2 linked regions of the Astyanax mexicanus genome follow. The protein of the gene in region 1 binds, or shares a complex with, the protein of each later gene. Links are inferred from orthologs where the notes say so. Each region holds a gene or a part of one and is shown on either strand. Other genes may lie near its edges.

Region 1 (12,774 bases):
TTTACTGAGCTGTTCTCAGTACTTTTAATTCTTCTTTACTTTTTACTTTAAGTTTTCTTTCATCTACTTTTCTATGAACCAGAAAGAAGACTAAATACACGTTCAGGAAAATATTATTTTTGAATATATATGTATATGTATTTGTTAAGTTCACTGTACTTAAACATTATATTACATGAACTTAAAATGTATTAGGTAATCGGTTACAACTAAAGTTTTGAGTTTAGTCAACTTATCGGGTTTTACAGTGTAGCAACATCTTAGCAATCACCTAGAAATACCTTAGCAACCACGTAGTTACAACATAGCAACCACCTTGAAACCACCTAGCAAACATTTAGCAACAGCACTGCAACCATTACAGATACCACAGCAACCACCTTAGAACATTATTCAAATATTCAATATTCACTGTATACCTGTAACTCTACCTCTTCACTACTTTATAACTGATGCTCTCAAACACTTTATTAAGAGACAAGAAATTTAACAAGTAATTAACTCTTGATGAGTTCAGCACAGCTGTTAACTGAAAGCCTGAATTCCAGGTGACTCTACCACATAACACTGACTGAGAAAATTCAGCAGAGATGTGCAAACATGTCTCTATCTAGGCAAGAGGTGCTAGTTTGAAGTGCACAGGGTATAAAGGCCAGTAGGTAGAAGGAGTCAGGAATTTGGAGGTGCTTTACTCCCAGAAGGGCAGGATGATGGTGTTCTTACTTGTTATGTGCTCTGGTCGACACCACAGCTTTTGCGATGTGCCGCTGCAGATCTTCTGGCAGTAATGTGAGGTCTCCCAGCACCCGGATACAAACGCCATGCTTCTCCAGGTTCTCTCTTAAAACACACACAAACACATGAACACACTATAAACCGTAAATAAACTTCTTATAATTAGTTTTGTGCCAGTTCACATTTAAAATGAACCAGTTCAAAGCTCAGTTTATACTTGTTTAATTGAACTAGTTCATGTTCATAATTTATTTTAAAAAAGTTCAAAGTTCCAAAAATTAACTAGCACATGTTAATTTGACCCCACCCCACTAAATAAACTGCTATTAATATACTTAATATACATATTTTTTTAAGTTTTTAAACTCATGTTATAAACTTTTAAAACTCAGAGCTCTGCCTGTGAGTTCAATCAGCTTATGGTAGCAGTAATGCAGCATCCTAAAACCTGTTTACTGTAGAAAAACTGAAATATAATGGTAAGTTGGCTTTTTTTTTTTTTTTTTTATCAAAATAGATCATTTTACTTTCCAAAATATAGGAATATCCTGTCCAATATTTTCTATTTTTAATTTAAGTATTTAGCTGTTCAAATAATATGAATATGAACACTGGTCACAATACAAACTACATACTTCAACTACATTTATAGATTTAAAGACTTATAGATTTACTACAGAAACTATGTTACACATTTATCATTTAATTTAGAGATCACAGCTACATAATTACAAGTTTAAAACTGTATTGACTGATTTACCAATATAATAAATCAAAGGTGCGTGTGATGTCTCATATTACATGTTCCAAAAAAAAAAAACTTAACATGTTTCCAATGCCATTAAGTGGAGGAAATGTTACTAGAAGTACTATTGTACAAGATAAGGAGACTGGTTTTATTGTTTATTCATTATTATATGAATATAGTGCATAACGCAGCTTCATTACTAGGCGACTAGTGGTGGCCCGTAGGTGGCACTACTGAGCGCAAAAGCGCAAAAGTTCAGCAACCTAACTGCTGCTGATTACCTAGTTAACTTTAGGGTTTATCGTATGTCTTCAGAAAGGGGACAGATGGTGCAGCAATGACTTATTATGGTTCGTTCTTTAATGTGTAGCTGAAATTAGCTTTGATTATATTGTATTTTTCCAGTCTGAACAGTCTCTGCCATCTGTTGCACTAATTAGGGAGGAAGAGGAAAGTTAGCTAGTTAGCTAGATACAGAAATGAACAATTTCTTTCACTTATTATGAAGAAAAATGGTCATAAAACACTGATACTACACATTAAACTATGGTAATATAGTGGTTATTGTAATTTTGAACAGGGTTTCTTTTGTGGCTTGTGCCACTGCCATCTTGTCAGTGATTCTCATAGTGCTCTGTTTTGAGTGTTCCTCTGAAAACTTTCAGTTTAAAGGTTAATGTAGCCCTCAACACTACCCCCTAACACTTAACAGAGGAATAGGGCTTAGGGGTGAAATGGGATTGGGCCTTTTTTGCCAGGTGACTCACTGTTCGTCCAGCAGGCGGAGGAACTTCTCCTTTGCGAGCTCCATCAGGCCGCCCACCTCCTCTTTAGAGCGCTTGAAGTTCTCTATGCTAAAGGCGTAAACGGTCACCTCGTGGATGCCCAGGTTCAAACACCAGCGTAGTGTCTAAGAGAGTTAAACAGAATACCAACTAAATACTGTCAGTCACTCTTATAACACTGTAATTGGAGTCACAAAAATTCTTGAGACTTGATAATAAAACACAGTGGATCAACACCAGCAGATGACATGTCTCTCCAAACCATCACTGATTGGTGGAAACTTCACACTAGACCTCGAGCAGTTTGGACTGTGTGTCTCTCCACTCTTCCTCCAGACTCTGCTCCCTTGATTTACAAATGAAATGTAAAATTTACTGATGATCAGTGATGGTTTGGAGAGTCATGTCTGTCATCTGCTGGTGTTGATCCACTGTGTTTTATTATCAAGTCTAAAGTCAGTGCAGTTTTGTTTTCCTACAAAATCTTACAGCACTTCATGCTTCCTTCTGATGACAACTTTTATGGAGATGAGGATTTCATTTTCCAGCAGGACTTGGCACACTGCCCACACTGGCAATAATATTCAAATTTTCTGAGACACTGATTTTTGGGTTTTCAATGACTGTAAGCCATAATTGTCAACAATAAAAGAAATAAATGTTTAAAATAGATCACTCTGTGTTTAATACATCTATATAATATACTGTATGGGTTTTTACATTTTGAACTGAATTACTGAAATAAAGTAAAAAAAAAAAAACTTTTCAACTATATTTTAATTCTTTTAGATGCACTAGTATACCGATATATTGTCCCACCCAAATTAAGGCAGCATGCTTACTTTCTCCTAGCAGCATTTTTGATGCCTAATGTGTCGGTTTAAATGAGGCATGGGTAATTTTGGTCCTGAGAGGATGGATTTTCAAGCTTTTCAAGTTTAAACACACCTGCTAAAAGTTCAGCAGAACTTTGCTGGACTCCAGACCCGATTCCCCACCCCTGGATTAAGTGTGTCACTACAGCAACACTGCAATTTCCTTTGGGATCAGTCAGCTTCTATTCTATGTACGTCTCAAAAGACATTTGTGTACAAATCACATGATTGTAATACCAGAATAAAACCACTAGAGGCCAATGCTGTGAACCTCACGATCACTATCGAAGGAAATTGCCTTATGAAATCTGCATCTAAACCTAAAGCCATAAACATTAAAGGTCATATTTGAAGTCATACTCACTTCAGCCAGCTTGTCAAAGCCCTGTGTGTGGCCCTCCTGCCTCTCCACATGTCTCTTCTGGGCATAGCGTCTATTGCCATCCATAATGAAGGCCACATGCTTGGGCATGGGCCCTGCCTGTGAAAAACAAATACAGTGAGGTAAAGAAGAAAAAGACAAAAAAATAGACCTCAGGGTTAAAAGTTACAAGTGTGGACTGACCAGTGATATAAAATCTAAGTTACCTTTAGGACATTGGCAGTGAGCCTCTCCAGTAGGCTTAGTTCACCTTCCCTGATCCACGACATCTGAGCTTGCTGGTCTAAAAGTAAAAGGATAAAATTAATTACTTAAAATTTAAAATGAAGCACATTCATTATTGTATATTGTCACGATTAAGCAAAAAAAAATGGTAAACTTATGGTAAACTATGTTAATCTGTACACATTGCATTAAAATGTAATAATGAATTGATCAATAAACAGTCCTTCCTCTGTAAAGCTGTTTTTGTTCTTGATGGTGATGAAACACACAGTACAGCTTATTCTAGCCCTGGCTGTACTCTTTCTGTCACAATTGCCTCACTCTCATTCCACTTCTTATTCCCATTCTTTCTATGTCTGTTTTTTTGTCTCTTCTCTCTTGTCTCTCTATGTCTGTTATAGGTGAGCAAGCATAACACAATATGTACACAAAACATAACAGACATAACATTAAAACCACTGAAGGCTCAATCTCAACTGCTCCCCTGCTCTCTTTAGAGTTCATTAAGCTACATAACCAATATGAACAAGTTAGACCAAACAGGTTGACCAGCACAACCAGCAAAGTCAAGGTTGACCAGAATGAACAGAAAAAGTCATGATTGATAAGCATGACCAGCAAAGCCAAGCTGGTTGACCAGCACGACCAGAAAATGCCATGGTTGACATGACCAGCACAAACAGCATCACCAAGCTAGACAACCAATATTAACAAATTTGACCAAACTGGTTAACCAATACAACCAGCAAAGGCAAGCTAGACAACCAGCATGAACGAGTATGACCAAGCAGGTTGACCAGCACAACCACCATGACCAGCATCACCAAGCTAGACAACCAGTATGAACAGATTTGACCAAGCAGGTTGACCAGCACAACCAGCAAAGCCAAGCTGGTTGACCACCATGACCAGCATCACCAAGCTAGGTGACCAGTATGAACAAATTAGAACAAACTGATTGACAGCAAAGCCAAGGTTGACCAGCATGACCAGAAAAAGCCATGGTTGGCATAACCAGCAAAGCAATGCTTGTTGACCAGCACAAAATAACATCACCAAACTAGACAAATAGTATGACCAAGCTTAACCAAAATGGTTAACCAGCACAACCAGCAAATTAAGGCTAACCAGCATAACCAGCATTACCAAGCTAGACAGGCAGAGCAGAGGGAAGCATAGGGAAGTATAAAGTGTTATAAGATTTTCCGGGAAAACACGGCATTGACTTTAGACTTGATAGAACATAGTGGATCAACACCAGCAGATGACATGTCTTTCCAAACCATTAATGATTGGTGGAAACTTCACACTAGACCTCAAGCAGCTTGGACTGTGTGTCTCTCCACTCTTCCTCCAGACTCTGATCCCTTGATTTCCAAATAAAATGTAGAAATTACTGATGATCAGTGATGGTTTGGAGAGACATTTCATCTGCTGGTGTTGGTCCACTGTTTAATATCAAGTCCAAAATCTTACAGCACTTCATGCTTCCCTCTGCTGGCAACTTTTATGGAGATGCAGATTTCATTTTCCAGCAGGACTTGGCACACTGTCCACACTGTCCATTAGACTGAATCTTTTCATTTCATTGGCTGTAAGCCATAATCGTCAACAATAAAGAAAAAAAACATGTAGTTTCACATTTTGAACTAAATTACTGAAATAAATTAGCTATTTAACGCACTAATATACATATATATCTATTAAATATTAACATAACACAACATTTCTTAAGCTTCACATTGCAGCAGCAAGTCTACACAGGTCATTCAGCTACAAAACAAGCCCCTTTCCACCACACCAGACCACTGCAAGCCCAAAACAGATCTTAAGGTTATTTTAACAGCTGAAAACTCGTATCACACATATATAACGTTAGCTAGTTTATATAGTGAGTTTTAGCTGATATTAGAGCTAGGCTAGCATTTATATAGGGCTGTTTAAATGGTTAGCTGCTAAGCTAAGCTAATGTAGGCTAAGCTAAGCTAATAAATGTGTGTAGAGCCCTGTAAACACCCAGACCAGCGAACAGACCGACCTTAAACACCCTCAGACCCCGAGTTTAATTCAGACACAGCCCTGTAACTGTAACCCTGCTGATTAAACAGCAGCTCCAGATCCCCAGCTCCAACTCACAGCCTGCTGACGACCTCTTCCTCCGACCGGAAATGACGACACAGCGACGGTGCGCGTGCCTGCCTTCACAATAAAATTCAACAAAAAACTAAAGATCTAAATAAAACACTTTTTAACCGGGATTATCTCCTAAAGCGTGTATTAAAGAAATAAAAAAATATTTAGTGGCGAAAAATACAGAAATTAACCTGTATCCATCCATGAAGTTGAAGTTTGTTTTCATACGTTCCGTTCCACCTTAAATCAGGCTTCTGCTGTACTTTTTTTTAAGGTGGAACGGATAATTCCTATTAGTAGACATGTTTAGCTTTAAAACAGTTTCATATTCATATGTTTTCACATAAAAATCGAATCAAAATAGAATTAAGTTTACTAATATATACAGCTCTGAAAAAAAAAATCAGTTTCTGAATTAGTTTCTCTGATTTTGCTATTTATAGGTTTAATGTTTGAGTAAAATGAACATTATTGTTTTATTCTATAAACTACAGACAGCATTTCTCCCAAATTTCAAATAAAAATATTGTCACTTAGAGCATTTATCTGCAGAAAATGAGAAATGGATGAAATAACACAAAATATTCAGAGCTTTCAGACCTCAAATGATGCAAAGTACGTTCATATTCATAAAGTTTTAAGAGTTCAGACATCAATATTTAGTGGAATAGCCCTGGTTTTTAATCACAGTTTTCATGTATCTTGGCATCATGTTCTCCTCCACCAGTCTTACACACTGCTTTTGGATAACTTTATGCAGCTCTGGTATTTATAGCATTTTTTACAAGTAAACATCACAAAAACAGTCCCATCCAGGGACTGTGTACATTCTCTTACTTGTTGTCCTGTTTTTTTATGGGCACCAGATACTAGGTTGTGAGCACCACATACTAAAGGGCAGTTTATACTCCTGCATCAAACCTACAGCTGCTAAAAAAGTATGTGGACCCTTTGGGACTATTTGGATTTCTGCTTTCTGTGTTCTGATCTTCATCTAAGTCACAACAATAGACAAACACAGTCTGCTTAAACCAGTACCACACAAAATATGTTTATGTATATGTTTGCATGGTTTTATTGAACACAACATGTTAATATTCACAGTGAGGGTGGAAAAAGTATGTAAACCTTCAGATTTAATAACTGATTGATCCTCCTTTGGCAGCAAAAACCTCAAAGGAACGTTTCCTGTAGTTGCAGATCAGACCTGCAGAACAGTCAGGAGGAATTTTGGATCATTCCTCTTCACTAAACTGTTTCAGTTCAGCTATAATATTCTTGGGATATCTGGTGTGAATCGCTCTCTTGAGGTCATGATGTCACAGAATCTTAATTGAGTTCAGGAGGTCAGGACTCTCCAGAAGGCGTATTTTCTTCTGTTGAATCAATTTGGTTTTGATTTACTTCTATGTTTTGGGTCATTGTTCTGTTGCATCATCCATCCTCTGTTGAGATTTAGTTGGCGGACAGATGGTCTTAAGTTCTCCTGCAAAATGTCTTGTGTAACTTGGGAATTCATTTTTCCGTTGATGATGGTAATCCGTCCAGACCCTGAGGCAGCAAAGCAGCCCTTAACCATGATGCCCCCTCCACCATGTTTCACAGTTGGGATGAGGTTTTGATGATGGTGTGATGTGCCTTTTTTCTCCACACACAGCGTTGTGTGTTCCTTCCAAACAACTCAATTTTGGTTTCATCTGTCCACAGTATATTTAGCCAGTACTGCTGTGGAACATCCAGGCAAACTTCTAGCGTGCAGGAATAGTTTTTTTTTTACAGCAGTGGCTTCCTCCATGGTGTCCTCCCATGAACTCCATTCTAGTTTAATGTTTCTCTTATTGTAGATTTGTCAACAAAAATGCATGTGCCCATTGGCGTAGGAACCGGGGGGGATTAGAAACAGGTGGATTTGTCCCCCCCAAAAATGAAATAGTTTCGCTCAGCTCAGTCGTACTGTTAATGAAGAGACCGACCGCTAAGCGCTGGGAAACCAATCACGGTGCCGGTTCAGGGAGAAAGTCCCGCCTTTCAGGAGAAACAGCCAATCAGCTCGCTGGTCTTGCGAGAAGAGTTAGCGTGCTGGTGGAGGAGAAGCCCCTCCCCCTCGCTGTGAGATTTAGAAGCGGTGTCCAGCATCAGCTGGTGTTGAAGTAAATCTGGATATACGGCGATTTTTCTAAGAGGTAACGGAGTTTACCATGTGGCCTGTGTTGAGATTATTTCTGATAGCTGGTTAAAAAGACTCTCCAAATCAAAACACACAGATTAAACCCACCGTGTGATAATAAACTGCAGCTGTGTTAGTCAGTTAGCTTAACTTTGGAATTAGCTAGACAGGGAGTCAAGGCTTAAAAAAAATATATATGTTATGTTCAGCTTGCCCTGATCAGCTAATCACTATTTCATTTTCAAATTGTGTTTATTAATTTAGGATTGCAGGACTTACTGTAAGCTATAGTAAACGAAAAAATAGTTAGCTAGAAGCCAGATGTAGTGGATAGTCAGAATTTAGTACAGTACTTTATGTTGGTAGTTTAAAGCAGTTTATTAACCCTGATCTCTGCCCTAAAATTGTGTGTTTCTACCAGATCCAACTGATTTGCTAATAAACAGTCCTTTACTGAGTTTACCTGTTTAAATCCTTTTCATTATGTATGTCAGCAGTGTATTAGACACATCATACCTCCACTTACTTTATTAAGTGACTTTAAAGCAGAGTAGGCAGTGGGGATATGCAGTAGAATGTGTAGGAACAGGGTTGAGAAACACTGCTCTAACCTGACTTCTGTTTATTTGTAGTTCACAGTAAGACTAAATCCTGAGTAAATAGAGGGATTCCAGGTGAATCCAAATGTTTTTTTCTTTAGTCTAATATTTATATTAACTTCTGTCAAAAATCTCTATGAAACGTAAAGTTACATTCTTTTTTCAAAAAAGGACACCATCATAAGAAGTGCTTTCAGTAGAAACAACTAAAAGCGCAGATGATAACTGATCAGTTTTTGTCATATATGTATATAATTCAGACATTTCACGCATATTTGTTTAAATGTAATGTGGAGTAACATGGTGGTTGTAAAGTCACCTTTACTTGGATGTAACTAATAATAAACAGAGTACAGAAAAAAGGGATTATTTGTGATTAAAAGTAATTCCTATGTTGTTCTAAGAAACTATATGGGCTTTGGTGCATTAGCAAAAGTGTCCCCCCCAATATCAAACCCGCTCCTACGCCCTTGCATGTGCCAGAGATTTATGGAAGTCTTTAGCTGACACTGGATTCTTCCTCACCTCATTGATCATTTTTTCCAAGTTTTTCACTCACATGTACACCTGTACTCTGTGACGTGACAATAAAAATCTTGAATCTTGAATCTTGAATTCTGCGCTGTGCTCTTGCAGTCATCTTTACAGGCCTTTACCACGCCTAGGGAGAGTAGCAACAGTGCTGAACTTTCTCCATTTGTAGACTGTCTGTATTACCGTGGACACATGAACATCAAGGCTTTTAGAGATATTTTGTAACCCTTTCCAGCTTCATGTAGGTCAACAATTCTTGAACGTAGGTCTTCTGAGAGCTCTTTTGTGCGAGGCATGCTTCAAATCAAGCAATGCCTCTTATACAGCAAACTCAAAACTGGTGTGTGTTTTTATAGGGCAGGGCAGCTTTAACCAACACATCCAATCTCATGGCATAGGTTTGATGCAGAAGTATAAATTGGCCTTAAGTGGTGAAAAACGGATATTAAGTGGTGAGCACCAGACACTAAGTGGTGAGCACCAAATACTAAATGGTGAGCACCACATACTAAGTGGTGAGTACCACATACTAAGTGGTAAGCGCCAGATACTAAGTGGTGAGCACCAGTACATGACTTCATAGACTACATAGATGTTGTACTGTGCACATGCTTTGCAATCCTCCATACTTTCATCATGGAAGGGGGGGTTATGAATATGAACTGTCTGGGAAGCTGCCTCATAGACATGCTTCTTTGCTTATTTTTGTGTATAGTGTCTATAGTCACATCTTGGCAAGTGGTAACTTAACTGCAGTTTAAGAAACCCATCAGGTAGATAGCTAGATTGCTAGATTTCTTAGCTAATGCAAGCTAGTTAAAAAGCAAACCTGTAGCAAACAGGAGATAATTGTAGCTAGCAAGCTATAGTTTAAACTAACAGACAACTTCAAAGACTTACAATAATCTGCCTTGCTGAGTTATTTTTTTACAGTCAGCTAGGTTAGGTAACATTAACTACTTTATTGTGTGGAATGTTTTAGCTAGGTAGCTAATAAAGATCTGTCAACTGTGGCATTATGCCAATTCTTAGGCCAGACACCTACTGACCACTGTAACCCATATGGCCCATGCCCACAGGTGCTTCCAATTGGAAGGAACCAGAAGCTAAAAACAAGTGTTAATTGCAACAGCATAATAAGTTATTTGGCAATGACAGAGAAGATTTGGCAATTTTTTCATGGGCACAACCCATATTCTCAGCTATGCTGCTCATCAGTCGAATATATGTTCCTTTTAAAGGTGACATAATTCAAAAGAGAAATTAACAGACTTTTTCATTGGTATTATGGTCAGGAAGCATTGTTACAAATTGAAATAATCTACCAAACAGAAATGTTCTTACTTTTTGTGCTATGTGCCCTAAAATTGAAAATTCGAATAGCTTGGTGATGCTGATCAGGCTGGTGGAATAGCTTGGTGATGCTGATCAGGCTGATGGAATAGCTTGATGATGCTGATCAGGCTGGTGGAATAGCTTGGTGATTCTGATCAGGCAGGTGGAATAGCTTGGAGATGCTGATCAGACTGGTGGAATAGCTTGGTGATGCTGATCAGGCTGGTGGAATAGCTTGATGATGCTGATTAGACTGGTGGAATAGCTTGGTGGTGCTGATCAGGCTGGTGGAACAGCTTGATGATGCTGATCAGACTGGTGGAATAGCTTGGTGAAGCTGATCAGGCTGTTGGAATAGCTTTGTGATGCTGATCATTTTGGTGAAATAGCTTGGTGATGCTGATGAGGCTGGTGGAATAGCTTGGTGAAGCTGATCAGGCTGTTGGAATAGCTTTGTGATGCTGATCATTGTGGTGAAATAGCTTGGTGATGCTGATGAGGCTGGTGGAATAGCTTGGTGATGCTAATCAGGCTGGTGGAATAGCTTGGTGATGCTGATCAGACTGGTGGAATAGCTTGGTGATGCTGATGAGGCTGGTGGAATAGCTTGGTGATGCTGATGAGGCTGGTGGAATAGCTTGGTGATGCTAATCAGGCTGGTGGAATAGCTTGGTGATGCTGATGAGGCTGGTGGAATAGCTTGGTGATGCTGATCAGGCTGGTGGAATAGCTTGGTGATGCTGATCAGACTGGTGGAATAGCTTGGTGATGCTGATCAGGCTGGTGGAATAGCTGGTCAGGCTGGTGGAATAGCTTGGTGATGCTGATCAGGCTGGTGGAATAGCTTGGTGATGCGGATCAGGCTGGTGGAATAGCTTGATGATGCTGATCAGGCTGGTGGAATAGCTTGGTGATGCTGATCAGGCTGGTGGAATAGCTTGGTGATGCTGATCAGACTGGTGGAATAGCTTGGTGATGCTGATCAGGCTGGTGGAATAGCTGGTCAGGCTGGTGGAATAGCTTGGTGATGCTGATCAGGCTGGTGGAATAGCTTGGTGATGCGGATCAGGCTGGTGGAATAGCTTGATGATGCTGATCAGGCTGGTGGAATAGCTTGGTGATGCTGATCAGGCTGGTGGAATAGCTTGGTGATGCTGATCAGGCTGGTGAAATAGCTGGTCAGGCTGGTGGAATAGCTGGTGATGCTGATCAGGCTGGTGGAATAGCTTGGTGATGCGGATCAGGCTGGTGGAATAGCTTGGTGATGCTGATGAGGCTGGTGGAATAGCTTGGTGATGCTAATCAGGCTGGTGGAATAGCTTGGTGATGCTGATCAGGCTGGTGGAATAGCTGGTCAGGCTGGTGGAATAGCTTGGTGATGCTGATCAGGCTGGTGGAATAGCTTGGTGAAGCTGATCAGGCTGGTGGAATAGCTTGGTGATGCTGATCAGGCTGGTGAGAAATTAAGTTTATAGGATTTACAGAAAGTGTGAAATAAATCTTTGAACAAAATTAGGCAGGTGCATAAATTTGGGCCTGAACAGAAAAAATACATCAATATTTAGACAATCCTCCTTTTGCAGAAGTAACAGCCTCTAAACACTTCCTATATCTTCCAATAAGAGTCTGGCTTCTGGCTGAAGGTATTTTGGATCATTCTTCTTTACAAATAATTTCCAGTTCAGTCAAGTTTGATGGTTTCTGATCATAAACAGCTCGCTTTAAATCACAGCACAGATTTTTAATAGTATTCATGTCTGGGGACTGAGATAATCACTCCAGAACATTGTACTTGATCCTCTGCATGAATGTTTTAGTAGATTTTGAGCAGTGTTTAGGGTCAGAATACGTCTACAGAAGTATTTTTTAAACCAAAAATATTTAATGGGCCATTCCACCGAATGTATGTCATTTCTGTTTGACTAAGGAGCTCAATCTCAACACTCTGTCCCGTTATCTAAAATAATTCTTAAATCTTATTTGTTTATTTTTAAAATACAAATTTTGGGAAGATCACTAAAATGTGCTCAGTGTCCTTATGCTATTTGCATAGCCGCCATTTAGCTATTTTTCTTGTTTTTGCTAATTCTATGATAACTCAAAACATAAAAAAGTAATAGGAATCAGTGCCATTAATAGGATTGATTTTTTTGTCATAAAAAATATCTATTTGAACATGCAGTCAACCATTTCTTTAATATATAATCTTTCTTGAGAGAGAATCAAAGGAATTAGTGGACTTGCTTTTAAACATGC
Region 2 (12,951 bases), about 39 Mb from region 1:
TCCAAAAAAAGACTAAACAAATACATTTATAACAAACAATGAGACTTCCTTTGAAAAGTTAACCAAAATTAATAATAAAAAACAAAATACAGTTTTGTACTGCAAAGATTTTCATGATTTTAAGATTTTTCTGTGCAGACAGTATCCTTCTTATAGCAGATATAAGAAGTCATCACAGTAAACAATATTTGTAGCAGGTAAGAGATTTTCAGTTCTTCATTGATGGGTGTTTGCTCATTCTTCCTTGTTGTTAAAAGCTTCTAGTTTTGGGAGATTCAGGGGCTGTCTTACATGAACTGCTTTTCTGACACCTGTTTACAGATGTTTGTTGAATTTTAAGTGCTGTGAGAGCCTTTGTGGATTTTGAGATGTGTTTAGAATCATGTTGTAAAAGTAATTCTCTTTTTCTCAACAGCTTTTGTTTTTACAGAAGGTGTGATTAATTCCAGATTTTAATTTCAATTGTTAATTATATCCATTTTCCCAGTCAAATTATATTACCAGTCAAATGCTCCCTGTTACACTGGCTGCATCACAAGCCCAAAACTTGATTGATCCACCCCATGGTTAACAGATAAAAATGGCTTTATACCACTGCATCATTTAGTTTTTACTTTAGCTTACTTAACTTAAACATACTTTAAATTGTGGCCACAAATAGTCATAGTCATAGTTTCTTTATTTATCTCCCAAGGAGAAATTTTGCTTGGATTGAGGGCATACTGCATTACAACACAAAACAGACAAACATACAAACAAAAATATATGTGTATAGTGAAGCAATACCCATTTGGTGAGTGAAACCAATTCCAGAGAAACACATTTTAGGAGTACCCCACACCCCCCATGTCCTTGGTGGCAATAAAGGGGCATTTCACCTTGACCTGATGTTTATACTGTTCTGTCCTTGTGGTCTGATAAGAGTAAATGAGTTTTTTTTTTTGGTGGGAGGTGTCAGATCTGCTCACCCATATAAATGGTGTGCACTTAATGTTTAAATGTTTGTAATAAACAGTGTTGATAAGGAGAGTTCCCAGACCCCAATTTTGCAGAAACAACCATTACATTTCTGTGAAGGCTTTGCACTGGATGTTGGAACGTTTGACAGTATTTACAAATTCAATTTATTAAAATAGTTATGTGAGCTGTTTTGGATCTCAACTAACAGATAAACAGAGAATCATCAAATGAGCCTGTGCTCTTCTGTGCATTTATCTAACCCTATCATTTCTATCTTTTTAATAACTGTACTCACCATCTGCACATACCGATCACTTTATTAACTTTATTACTTTATTAACTTTATTACCTCCTGGCAAAACAGGAATTAAAAGATAAATATACTGTAGTCTATGACTAGACTTAATGCATGTCTGTGAAATGGCCCCTATATCTCTCATTATTTATTATTGAATTAGGTTTGATATGGGTTGAAATAATCAACCCATAAAGTGTCCTCTGTGACAGACACACCAGCAACATCCATCTCCAAAAAAAAACAGAGTACTCAAAGAGAGGAACGAAGAGACAAAGTATCTGCTAAAAGTATTTAAGCAGAGGAAACTGCATTTGTTGTCTAGAATGGGCTGTAAACAGGTTATCACCAAGGTTCTCACATCTGCGGACAGACAGGACAATCTGTGACTGCTTTGCCAGTTCCTTGTCAGTGTTTTCCAACACAGATAGTGATCTAGGCCATTGTTCCCAATAAAGCGGAGAAGGCCTACACTCAGCAGAGCCCCAGTCGCTGAGCTATTTAAGCCACAGGTCTTCAAAATGCTGCTTCAGCACCAAGGCAGCCCCGGTCATCTACACAATGCGGACACTTCACATTCTCATTTACACCCTGCTCTTCCCTCTCCTCTCGCTCTGCAGCCAAGTGTGTCCAGAGAAATGCGTCTGTGAACAAACCGGATCAGTGCAGTGTTTCAGGGTACAGTCCATGCCCTCAGGCATCCCGAGAGATGTGAGAAAACTTAACCTGGGATACAACCACATTAAGGAGATCAAGGTAACTGTTCTTTTTTACTCCAGATCCATCTCATTTGCACCTGTTTAGCAACATTCTCTTGTTTTCTGTATTACTTATTTGGAGTGTTTTAAATAAGGCATACTCCACAATGATTCACATCTGGCACAAATTTTTTTCTCTCTACATTTTATTCAGTATTATATAAACTGTTATGTAGGATTAATTTTGAGTTTTTCATTTTTAATTTTAATGATAAGTATGTTTGCGTTTTGTTGGTTTAGTAAATCTACCTTTTGAAATTAAGCTTGTAGTGTACAATATGTTTTATATGTTTCCTCAGATTTAGAAAATATTTTCTGTTCCAAATTGTGTTTGTTTAAAAAAAATTATTGTATTATTGGCATTGTGATGTCATTGTAATATTGTCCTACTGACCCATGCACCCAATTAATAAATAAACCAGATATTTGAAGATTGCTCTCATATTATACATTTAAGTCAATTATAACTGTTTATTATAATTGATATATTCAGATACTTTTATCTTTTAGGTTCTAGTTTTGTCTAATTAAAAATAGCTTTATTCTTAGTTTGGTAAACCAGCATTATAGGTTTTCCACACCCATATCTACATGGTGTACATCATATTTTGAAAGCAGTTAACAATTAGTTAGGGCAGTTAATGCATAAGATGTATCACTATCAATAACTGCGTAATAAAGCAATCGTTTAATGCAGTGTTTTTCAAGCTGAAAGCTGCAGTGTTACTTCTGGGAGCTGTTGTTCCAATTAATTTGAATGTCAGTTTTTTTGCAAAAAGAAAAACATTGAATTTTGGATGGTGTTGTTGGAGGTTTTTACATTTATATTAGTGCTGTTCTTCATGAGGTTTTTGAGCAATTTTGAGCATATTACGTAATTTAATGGACTACATTGATTGTTATGCTGTACTTATTTTGATTTGATAATTAAATACTTGTTGTTGCTGTGAAATGTTAATGAAATGAGTAAATAGAGCCCACACTGTGTGTGTTTTTTTTTTGTGCTGTCCCTCATCCAGCACACCTGATGCAACTAATTAATTAACAAATATCCAATAACCTGATCTACATCAGGTGTGTAAGGATAAGCAGGACCCAAACCTATTGAAACAAATGTGATTCCTGACTTTGTGTTATACTGGGCTATTTTAAAGAGCCTTTTTTCTTTTTTCCTTTTCTCTTAGAATCGAGATTTGTCGGGTTTGCAAAGTCTTGAAGAGATCATCCTGTCTTCCTGTGGAGTGGAGCAGCTAGAGGGTAATGTTTTTAGGGCCCAGAGGCTTTTAAAAACTCTGGATCTCCAAAAGAACAAACTGAGGAACATTCCTCGTGGCCTGCCCTCCAGCCTGGAGAGCCTTCACCTGGGTCACAACAGGATCCAGACATTGCAGGAGTCCACCTTGCAGGGTCTAAAGAAACTCCGCCTCCTGAACCTCCAGAATAACCTCATCACTACTTTACGCTCCAGTACTTTCTTAGCTCTCACTGTGCTGGAGGAACTATATCTGGAGGGTAATAAACTCGAGGCCGTGCAAGGTGCCCTCAGGTTGCCAATGCTGACTCAGTTAAGCTTAGCAAACAACAAAATCCATTCACTGCCTTCAGCTTTCTTCTCATCACTGCAGCTTCTTAAAACATTAGACCTGTCCTCTAACCTTTTGACTAAGGTGCCTCATGACCTTCCTCAAGCTCTGCTTAACCTCAGCTTGGACAGGAACCAATTAAGAAGTTTAAAAAGTCGTGATTTGGCTCAGTTGCGTGATCTGGTTACGCTGACTGCCTGCTACAACAGGCTGGTGTCGGTGGATGGAGGCCTTCGCCTGCCCAGTCTGAGTGTGCTGGAGCTGGTAGGAAACCAGCTGCGTGTGCTGCCCGGGCGGCTATCAGCCAAACTGGAGAAGCTTGATTGTGGGCAGAATCACATCCAGGAAGTGAGCCATCAGCAGCTATCTGGACTGAAGCAACTGCGCCATCTTTTTCTGGAGAACAACACCATCCGACACTTTGAGAGCAATGCTCTGAGGCACTGTGCTCACCTGACTAACCTGGCTTTAGAGAAGAACCTGCTCTCCACGTTTCCAAACAGGTACAGTTACATCTGTGTTTTATACTAAGGTTAATGTAGTCTGATAAGAACTGGACAATAATTTAATATTAAAATAGATGCATTATTAAAGAAAACGTTAGACACAGAAGAAAGTATCTGATTGTGATGCTATTTGGATAGAAGATTAAGGTTATTAGGATTTTTTTTTTTCAAATGCACAGTAGATTTATTTGGTATGTCAAAAGTTGCAGAACACCCTTTAACGAAAAGAAAAATGACATATCTGACTGTCCCAGCAAGTAATGGGTGGGTAGGGTGACTATTAGGGTATGTCCAGAACATGGCCGCCATCATGAAAGATGCCATATTCTGTTTCTTGAATTAAAGGGTGTCATATGGCTTTCGCATTGCATATGCTTTCGCATAGTATCTGTGTCCTAAAGGCAGGCTCTTAAGACGGCAGCAGTGTGTGGACAAGCATTGTCCTGTTGCAACAGTGCAGCAGAGGGTTGCATTTAGAAAAGGTAGGGACACTGGTTGCAGGACATTATTAACAAAATGATACAAGGCATTCTGGATGTAAAACAAAAGCACGGATCACGTCACTGTTTATTATTCACAGCATCTGTCACTGGCTGACAATCATTACAGGGTGCTCTACATAAATTGACATGGCACATAATTAGGTACAGGCATACTGTGTGTGTGTTCTTTGCAGTTTTTTTTGCAGTTTTTTTATTGTTCATTACAATGCAGGTAATATAGTGTATCAACTGAAATTAAGAAATATATTGTGTAATAATTTTTTGGCCATATCGTCCAGCCCTAAATCTGATTGTTAAATATTCTTGTGCATATGCATATCTCAACAGGCTTCCTGAAACCCTGGTTCGCTTGGATTTGAAGGGGAACAATATAGCCATGATTAAGGAGCATGAACTAAAGTCTCTGAAGCGGCTCCAGGTGTTGAATCTGCGCAACAACAGGCTCTCATCGCTGCCTGCTATGAACCTGCTGCCCAAACTGAGGACGCTGTATGTTGACGGAAACCCCTGGAACTGCAGCTGTGACCTGTTCAAGGTCAAGAGGTCTCTGCAGGCGAGAGACGTCGATATAAGCTCTGATTTCTGCACTGAGGCTGTTCAGACATCAGTGGACATTTGGCAGGCGTATGTACTGACACAGGAGAAGTGTGAGGAGACTGAAGAGTCATTACCAGAGAGCCAGACTGAACCCACAGACAATGAGGACTACTATGATTACGATCTTTTGTAAAGTTAATAATTTGCCATCTGTTTTTGATTTTCCATGGATTATGCTTTTTGTGTTGATTTAAACATAATAAATGCATCATCCATTCCTACACAACACCTGTTTTAGTCTAATGCACACAGAAATGTGAATATTGAATATCCTGTACAGTGTCTATTAGTGTACAGTGTTTATTATGTGTAATTATAGAAGTACAAAAAGAATTTCTTGATTTGCTGTTTATTGCTACAGTCAAAGGACACTATTGAACGACCACTGAACATTACATCTGTGTCTCTGTCTCTGCCTTTAAGACAACATAACATTTCTTTTTTTTTTCACTCACTCACTCACTCACACTCACTTACTCACTCACTCACTTACTCAGTCTATCACAATTGTCCACAAGGGGGAGCTGTTAGTACTCGAATAGCTTTCAGTGACACCGTGTGTCTTCAGTCCTGTTCAGGGGAAAGTCTGTCACAATTTTGAACAGAGACGTCAGACTTTCTAAATGGTTTAGAACATCAAGCATAAAGTTAGGTTATAAAGTCAATAAATGTACCTCTTAATTTACTAATGCCTCATATTTCATAAGTTAGATTAAATCCTATATTTGTGGAATTTTGCCCTCACCTTTAACTGTCAGTACACACACACTTAACATTGTGAGCTATAGTTATTATTTCTTAATTACACTGATTAATTATTGAAATTACTTGGAAACGTTGCAGAATACTTTTTGGATGTAATATAACAATATTAATAATGAACATTGTATTAATTCTACACCTCCAGATATTGCTTAATTGCTCAATTTCAGCTAAATCTATTGCTGACCGGCATTCAACTGTGGACACAACTTCTCCATCAAAACATTCCCAGTATAATGGGAAAGCAGGAAAACCTGAAAACCTTCTCTGGATTTACGAAGCTTCCTTCAGTCAGTACCTTTGGTATCAGTTCAAGGGCGAGTTTAGGATATATCATTCAGATCATTTAATGTGGGGCGCTGAAATCAAGAGATTACATGAAAAAATGGATAGAGGAAACTTTTTTTTACTTAATAGACCACTGAAGTCATGGGTCATTCTGTATGGCTTCCATGTCTAAGCGGTTTTTCTCTATGAGGAAAATGAATGGGCTTTTCAAAAAAATCACCTGTCACATTCTGTGGTAAATAAATATGTTCTGAATCCTGTACGTTTTATTCTGTGCACATTTACCTCCTTAAACACTGGATTCTTTGAATTTCGAGATAGTTTAGGAGTCGTAATGAGAAAAATGCTAGCTTGAAGCTAATGCTACAGCAGAGTGAACTGATGTCCCAGCACAGCTGCAGAGATTGCTAGAGGAATCTTTCCAGCGCAACACCAGTGAACTTTAATGATCATCTGTGAAGGAGAAGAATAATCTTAAACGCGATCTGGCCAGAGTTAGCTGGTGTACTGCAGAATCGGGTCTGCTGCCGTTGTGCTGTGATATCAGTTAAGCATTAGCTTAAAGCTAGCATTTTTCTAATTACTACCATTAAACGGTCTCGAAATTCAGAGGATCCAGTAATATTTAGGTAAATGTACACAGAGTAAAACGTACAGGGTTCTAAACATATTAATTTATTACAGGATGTGACAGAGGCCAGTCAAGCCCATTCAAATTTTTCATAGACCTAAACCTCTGAGACGAGGAACCCCAAACATGGGCATAATGGCTACAAAATGACAACATGACTTTAATGGTCTATTGTTAGGCACAATTAATTGTGTTAAAAAAATAATAATACGTTACTGATTTCAAATTATTTGTGTGCGTTAATGCCTTAATGTTAACAGCCCTGATATACAGCTCTGGAAAATGTTCATTTTATTCAAACATATACCTATAATTAGCAAAATTAAAGAAACTGATTCAAAACTGAAGTGGTCTCTTAATTTTATCCAGAGTTGTAATTTATATACAGCTCTGGAAAAATAAGAGACCGCTTAAAATGATGAATTTCTTTTATTTTACCAAATTGAAAACCTCTGAAATTCAATCGAGAGGAAGAGGTATGATCACAACCCAACAAAACAAGCTGAACTGCTTGAGTTTTTGCACCAGGAGTGGCATAAAGTTATCCAAAAGCAGTGTGTAAGACTGGTGGGGAAAAAAAAGCTCTGCATCTTTTTTTGTTAATATCAGTAATTTCTCATTTTCTGCAAATAAATGCTCTAAATGACATTATTTTTATTTAATTTGGGAGAAATGTTGTCCGTAATTTATAGAATAAAACAACATCTGCATCTTTTTTGTTAATATCAGTAATTTCACATTTTCTGCAAATGAATGCTCTAACTGACATTATTTTTATTTGAATTTTGGAGGAAAAACAATAGTTTTTATTCAAACCTATACTTATAAATAGTAAAATCAGAGAAACTTATTATTTTGTTATTATTATCGTGGTCTCTTTTTTTTTTCCAAGAGCAGTATATACAGTAGATCAGTGTCGTCCTCTCAGCACTGGGCGTAACAGGAGGTCACGTGAGAGTGACTCTCTCAGAGTGAACCCTCTCGCTGTGGTGCTGTAGGATCTTTGCGCGCCTCGTCCAATCAGAGAGCTCCATGTAACACAGCGGGTTCAAAGTGGAAAGGCTGAGGAATGGCAGCCGGCAGCCTGTGGCGTTGGCGCTTGTCGGAGCGGCGTTTATGAGCGAGCTGTCCGGAAGCCCTTAGCATGCGGGGTCTGCTGAGCTCCTGACAGACGTGCGGTCCTATCAGAGCCCGAATCATGGCGCTGTTGTACGAGTTGGTGTGGCGGCTCCTGCACTGCCTGCTGCAGCTCCAGAGAGCGGCCGCCGCCTGGATCCGAGGCCGCGTCTGGAGGCGAGGCGGGCGGCTGTGCAGGAGAGCCGCGCTGCGGCTGCCCGGAGCTCTGGGCTTCAGCACCCAGAAGAAGACCGCCAAACCCCGCCGGGTCCGCTGGGTAGCGGACGGCAAGGCTCTGGAGAAGCTGCCCCTTCACGTGGGCTTACTGGTGGCCGAGGAGGAGCAGCAGTACACGGACATAGCCAACCTGGTGGTGTGGTGCATGGCGGTGGGCATCTCATATGTCAGCGTGTATGATAATGAAGGTAAGACCCGGACACTGAATGTAGATACAAACACAGATACAAAAAAATAATACACATATGTTATTAATTAATGAATGAATTAATAAATATATGAATGAATATAGGGAAGTCTGTGACCCGGTGAATCACATGCACTACAGTCACCAGACTTCAGCTTGTGGTTTTCTCTGCTTCCCTCTTAATGAAATCTACACCTGTGATCTTTAAACATCCTGTAAAAAGGCTTAAACTAGTTCTAAAAACATTATAACAGGGTCCATACCAGGGTCCATACCATACTGAAATTAGTCTGGATAGAAGTTGAGTAACTTTGTAATGCCAGTGGGAAAAAAGTGCCATGCAAGGAAAAGTAGAACTGGATTATGTTAATATACAGCTTTATCACTTAAAAAATATGAGTTTTTGATTTTACTGAATTGAAAACCTCTGGAATATAATCAAGAGAACGATGGATGATCACAAGCCACCAAACCAAACTGAACTGCTTGAATTTTTGCACCAGGAGTGGCATAAAGGTATCCAAAAGCAGTGTGTAAGACTGGTGACGGAGAACATGCCAAGATGCATGATAACTGTAATGAAAAAAACAGGGTTATGCCACCAAATATTGATTTCTGAACTCTTAAAACGTAATGAATAGGAATTTGTTTTCTTTACATTATTTGAGGTCTAAAAGCTCTGCATCACTTTTATTCCAGTCATTTCTCATTTTCTGCAAATAAATGATCTAAATGATAATATTTTTTTGGGACTTGGGATGGAATGTCTAGTTTATAGAATAAAACCGTTAATTTTACTCGAACACATACCTATACGTAACAAAATCAGAGAAACTGATTTAGAACCTGAAGTGTTCTCTTCATTTTTTCTAGAACTGTATGTTACTTTTCACAATAACAGTATTTTGTGGACGATGTATCATGGTGATTGTGATAAACGTAATAGTCATTTTAAGACTGTTTAATGCCATTGATGTAATGATGATGATAATAATATAGCATAACAAAATCATTCATACCCTTATATACTTTTTTACCTACTGCAATCCACACTATGTGTATTTAGATGCAGTTATTAAAGTATTGATTATTATGGGTTCTATCGGGGTTAGCACAGTGAATATAGCAGTTCTGTAAGTCTGTAAATTATGTAATTTGACTCTGCACCTAACATTCTACCTTATTTCACATGTGCACACTGCAGTGACTATTCTGAAAAGTCATCTAAACTTTTTCTTTTTCTGGAGGTCAACAAATATCTAAACTCAAGTATCAGATTAAAAAATAATACTATAGAGATTTAATAGTGTTCTCCTCATAGTTATAGGTTTATCCTGAGTACAAAGTGTTTTTGATTGGACCAATGCAAAGTAATCTTGCTCTTTGCTGTAATCATTAACCAGACAGGAAGTGTGCTTCCACAAAAAAAATCTGTAGGAGCCAGGAAATGACACACTGTATTTTTAGGTCCTTGATCATGTGATTGAAGTGTACAAAAACTGATTGATAACTGGAAATTTCACACATTTATGAACTTATATCATGGTTTGTCACATGGGTCTCTAAATATATTAAACTGAAAAACATCTTTGCATAATGTCAGTATGGGTATCTGCTGACATGCGTTTCCCAGTTTTGCTTCAAAGAGAAATTTGGTGATGTTTTGTGTATTGTGATGTTCTGTTTATGGCTCATCATCCACCTCATATCCAAAAATCCACAAATGGCTAAGTCTATTTGTAGATCTAAGGATGATTTACACATAATTAATATTGTAAAACTGCATGGGCATAGTTATGATTCGCTTAAAACTATAGTTACTTCATTTTAAATCGTTTTTTTTTTTGGTATGTGAAGCCGAAAAACACATTCATAAAGGATTTTAAATTGATTTACACTAGTACTTCATGTTTCAGCTAATTTGTAGGAAGCTAAAACCTTTAGTAGATTTTTTTTATTTGTATGTTAATGTTCCATCCAGGTGGGCTCAGGTTTAAAACCTGATCATATCCATATGACAATAGCTTTTTAAGAGTAGTAGGTTACTTCACATAACTTTATTGGTTATGTTGGGTATATACAGTTCTATATAAAAAGTGGTTTAATGGTATAATTGTGTTATAATTATAAATAAACCAAGTGCTTAAGAGCTTTTGAGTCATTGTATGAAAGGCTTTCTTTTTCTTTTTCTTCCCTATTTTCCTAGTTTCCAGTTATTCCATCTTGGCCTAGTTAAATCCCTCCTGGGATATTTCTCAATGACCCGGGTGGGTGGGGTGGTATAGAGTGCTTTGCAGGCTGGATTACCTTTAACCCGGATTAAGCAACCCTTAACGCTCAGTGTGGATGCAGTACTCAGTGCCGTGTTGTCTAGCATACATAAGTGTGACATATCAGTCAGGTGGAGGTTTTATCATCACGAGAGAGACTGATTTGGACTCGCTGTGTGACTCATGAGAGGTTATAATTAAAACTGAGCATGGTTGCTTCCTCATCAAGTTCTGTGTCTAAGTTTGTCCCCAGGCCAAGCATTACAGTGTAGAATTTTTTTTTTAAGGAAATAATAAAGAATTTCTCACCTTTGCTTGCTCTAGGAAGGTCTGTCTCATAACTGATACATCACAGATTTATATGCTAGCAGACTCTTGGTATTGGGCATTTTGACCATAGGCTGAAAAGCAGCATCCATTTAAACTGTTGCATTCTGTTGTACACTGTTCTGGTGGGGACAATATAAACTGTTTTATCTGAGCTAATTGGTTGAAAGTAGATTGCTGTGGGAATGTTACAGCAGTGACTGACCCCTTTTTTTTTGTTTGAAGGTGTCTTCAGGAGGAATAACTCCAGGCTAATGGAGGAGATTATGAAGCAGCAACAGGAGCTCCTGGGCTCAGAAAGCTGCAAGTACTCACTGGAATTCCTAAACAATGGAACAGATCCACACGGTGAGCATTCACACCCTTCTCAGACTTCTCAGTGGGAGTATACAGACAGGTTATGCCAGAAAAGCTGACCTGAAGCACCTGTTCTGACACACTTCACCTCGTTTATAATTACTCTTTATCAGTTATTACCCATCCTGCTCCAGGTGTGCCCTATCCGGCATAGGCAAATGTTTTAATTGTTACATACAGTCATACATACTACAGCTTTTTAGCAAAGTTTTAGAAAAATGACCAAAAAAAAAATGTGTTTTTGCATAGAAATGATTTATACTAAATATACAGTCAAGAATTTAGACTAGTTCTAGGACATTTTGCTGGCTTGTGTACAAATGTATTCGAACAATTTGAAGTGAGTATGTTTTTAGAGCAGAGAAGCGCTAAAAATGCCCCACAAGGTTAGGAATGCACAATATAGCCAATTATTATATTTTTATGTAATTTATTTATGGGTATCATATATAATTTGTAATATTGAATTATAAGACTGGATATTAGACTGTAGTTATTGTACGTTATACTGGTGTAAAATAGGAGTACTTTACTAACTAAACAGAAACTAAACAAGAATAAATTAAGATATAAACTGAAATCGGTTTGTAGAACATTTTAACATGAAAAAATTTTAACAAATAAAACTGCAACTAAAAATGTTAATTATTTCATAGCACATTTATTAAACCGCAGAAATATAATGCTACATTATCTGGTTTACAGATGACTTATGCATATCCACTGCTGACAAAATACATAAGAATGCATGGGTAATAAAGGTACTGCAAAGGGGCAGACCAGCTCCATATAAATTCTTATACAGATTTGGAATGTGATGACAAAAGCTCCTGAAGGTGTAATGTTGGGATGTCACGTTAGTATATATATATTTTTTTCTCTTATATAGAGCGTATTAGGTTTTGCGCTAATAAATCTGCTTTCCATCAAAGCTAGATGTGATTGTATAGTTAATTAATTATTTATTTAAAAATATGTGTTGGATTATTTGTACAGTTAAACATTTCAGTACCACAGAGAACTGCCCTCCTCAAAGAGATTTATTGCTGTAAAGATTTTTAAGGGTTTATTCTTGAGCCTAATTTTGTTCTGTGGAATTATTTGAGATTCTTCTTTTTTTTGTTTGTTTAAAACTAGAGCAGCACACAGTTTTAAGTGTTTCTCTGTATACAGATCTATTATTATTGACTTTATTTGTTCTACTGAAAACACACCATTGGTTCAGTAATGAATAAAGAAGTTGAAATGTATGATTATCTTTGAGCAGATATTATGGCACTGATTAAACTAAGCTATTCTAACTGGCTGACTGGTTTGTGTGTGTGTGTTCAGCGCTGTTGTGTCAGACGGTGGTGAAGGTGTTGTCTCCAGATGATGGGAAGCTCCGTATTGTACAGGCAGCACAGCAGCTGTGTAAGGCTGTGGAGAAGAAAGAGAGGACATCCAAAGACATTGACGTCACTGTGCTGGACTCTTTACTGCGAGGTGAGTGGCCACTAACCTGCTGACCGGCAGTGCTTGAGTTCTTTTAAACATTGGTCACACAAACATTTATTATCTGTTGTTAAACATTA

The links.
Region 2: the proteins of dhdds (region 1) and nus1 are in contact, whole or in part, in a crystal structure (PDB 7PAX), measured with the Homo sapiens proteins. The link is inferred for Astyanax mexicanus from reciprocal best matches to the Homo sapiens genes DHDDS and NUS1. Residues at the interface, in NP_995583.1 of Homo sapiens: Arg37, Arg38, Glu81, Asn82, Lys84, Arg85, Arg159, His160, Ile162, Ser163, Val166, Arg167, Met169, Ala170, Trp171, Val173, Glu174, Pro180, Ser181, Ile183, Ser184, Glu185, Leu188, His199, Glu209, Val210, Arg211, Leu212, Ser213, Asp214; in NP_612468.1 of Homo sapiens: His137, Gln138, Pro193, Glu194, Lys197, Ala198, Ile200, Val201, Ala204, Gln205, Phe207, Cys208, Gln209, Val211, Ala212, Arg217, Pro218, Thr219, Leu221, Asp222, Val223, Leu226, Asp237, Pro246, Val247, Asp248, Ser249, Thr250, Leu251, Gly252.

The regions. Positions count from the first base shown.
Region 1 is NC_064408.1:119,799,166-119,811,939, forward strand, and holds the start of dhdds (dehydrodolichyl diphosphate synthase complex subunit DHDDS), read right to left. Parts: upstream 5,921-12,774; 5' UTR 5,789-5,920; intron 3,809-5,788; 5' UTR 3,795-3,808; coding exon 3,732-3,794; intron 3,625-3,731; coding exon 3,508-3,624; intron 2,394-3,507; coding exon 2,251-2,393; intron 841-2,250; coding exon 724-840; intron 1-723. UniProt on the Homo sapiens protein: With NUS1, forms the dehydrodolichyl diphosphate synthase (DDS) complex, an essential component of the dolichol monophosphate (Dol-P) biosynthetic machinery.
Region 2 is NC_064408.1:80,419,063-80,432,013, forward strand, and holds the start of nus1 (dehydrodolichyl diphosphate synthase complex subunit nus1), read left to right. Parts: upstream 1-7,906; 5' UTR 7,907-8,081; coding exon 8,082-8,424; intron 8,425-11,245; coding exon 11,246-11,368; intron 11,369-12,709; coding exon 12,710-12,862; intron 12,863-12,951. Other genes in the region: nephrocan-like, read left to right, coding at 1,817-2,011, 3,198-4,099, 4,933-5,335. UniProt on the Homo sapiens protein: With DHDDS, forms the dehydrodolichyl diphosphate synthase (DDS) complex, an essential component of the dolichol monophosphate (Dol-P) biosynthetic machinery.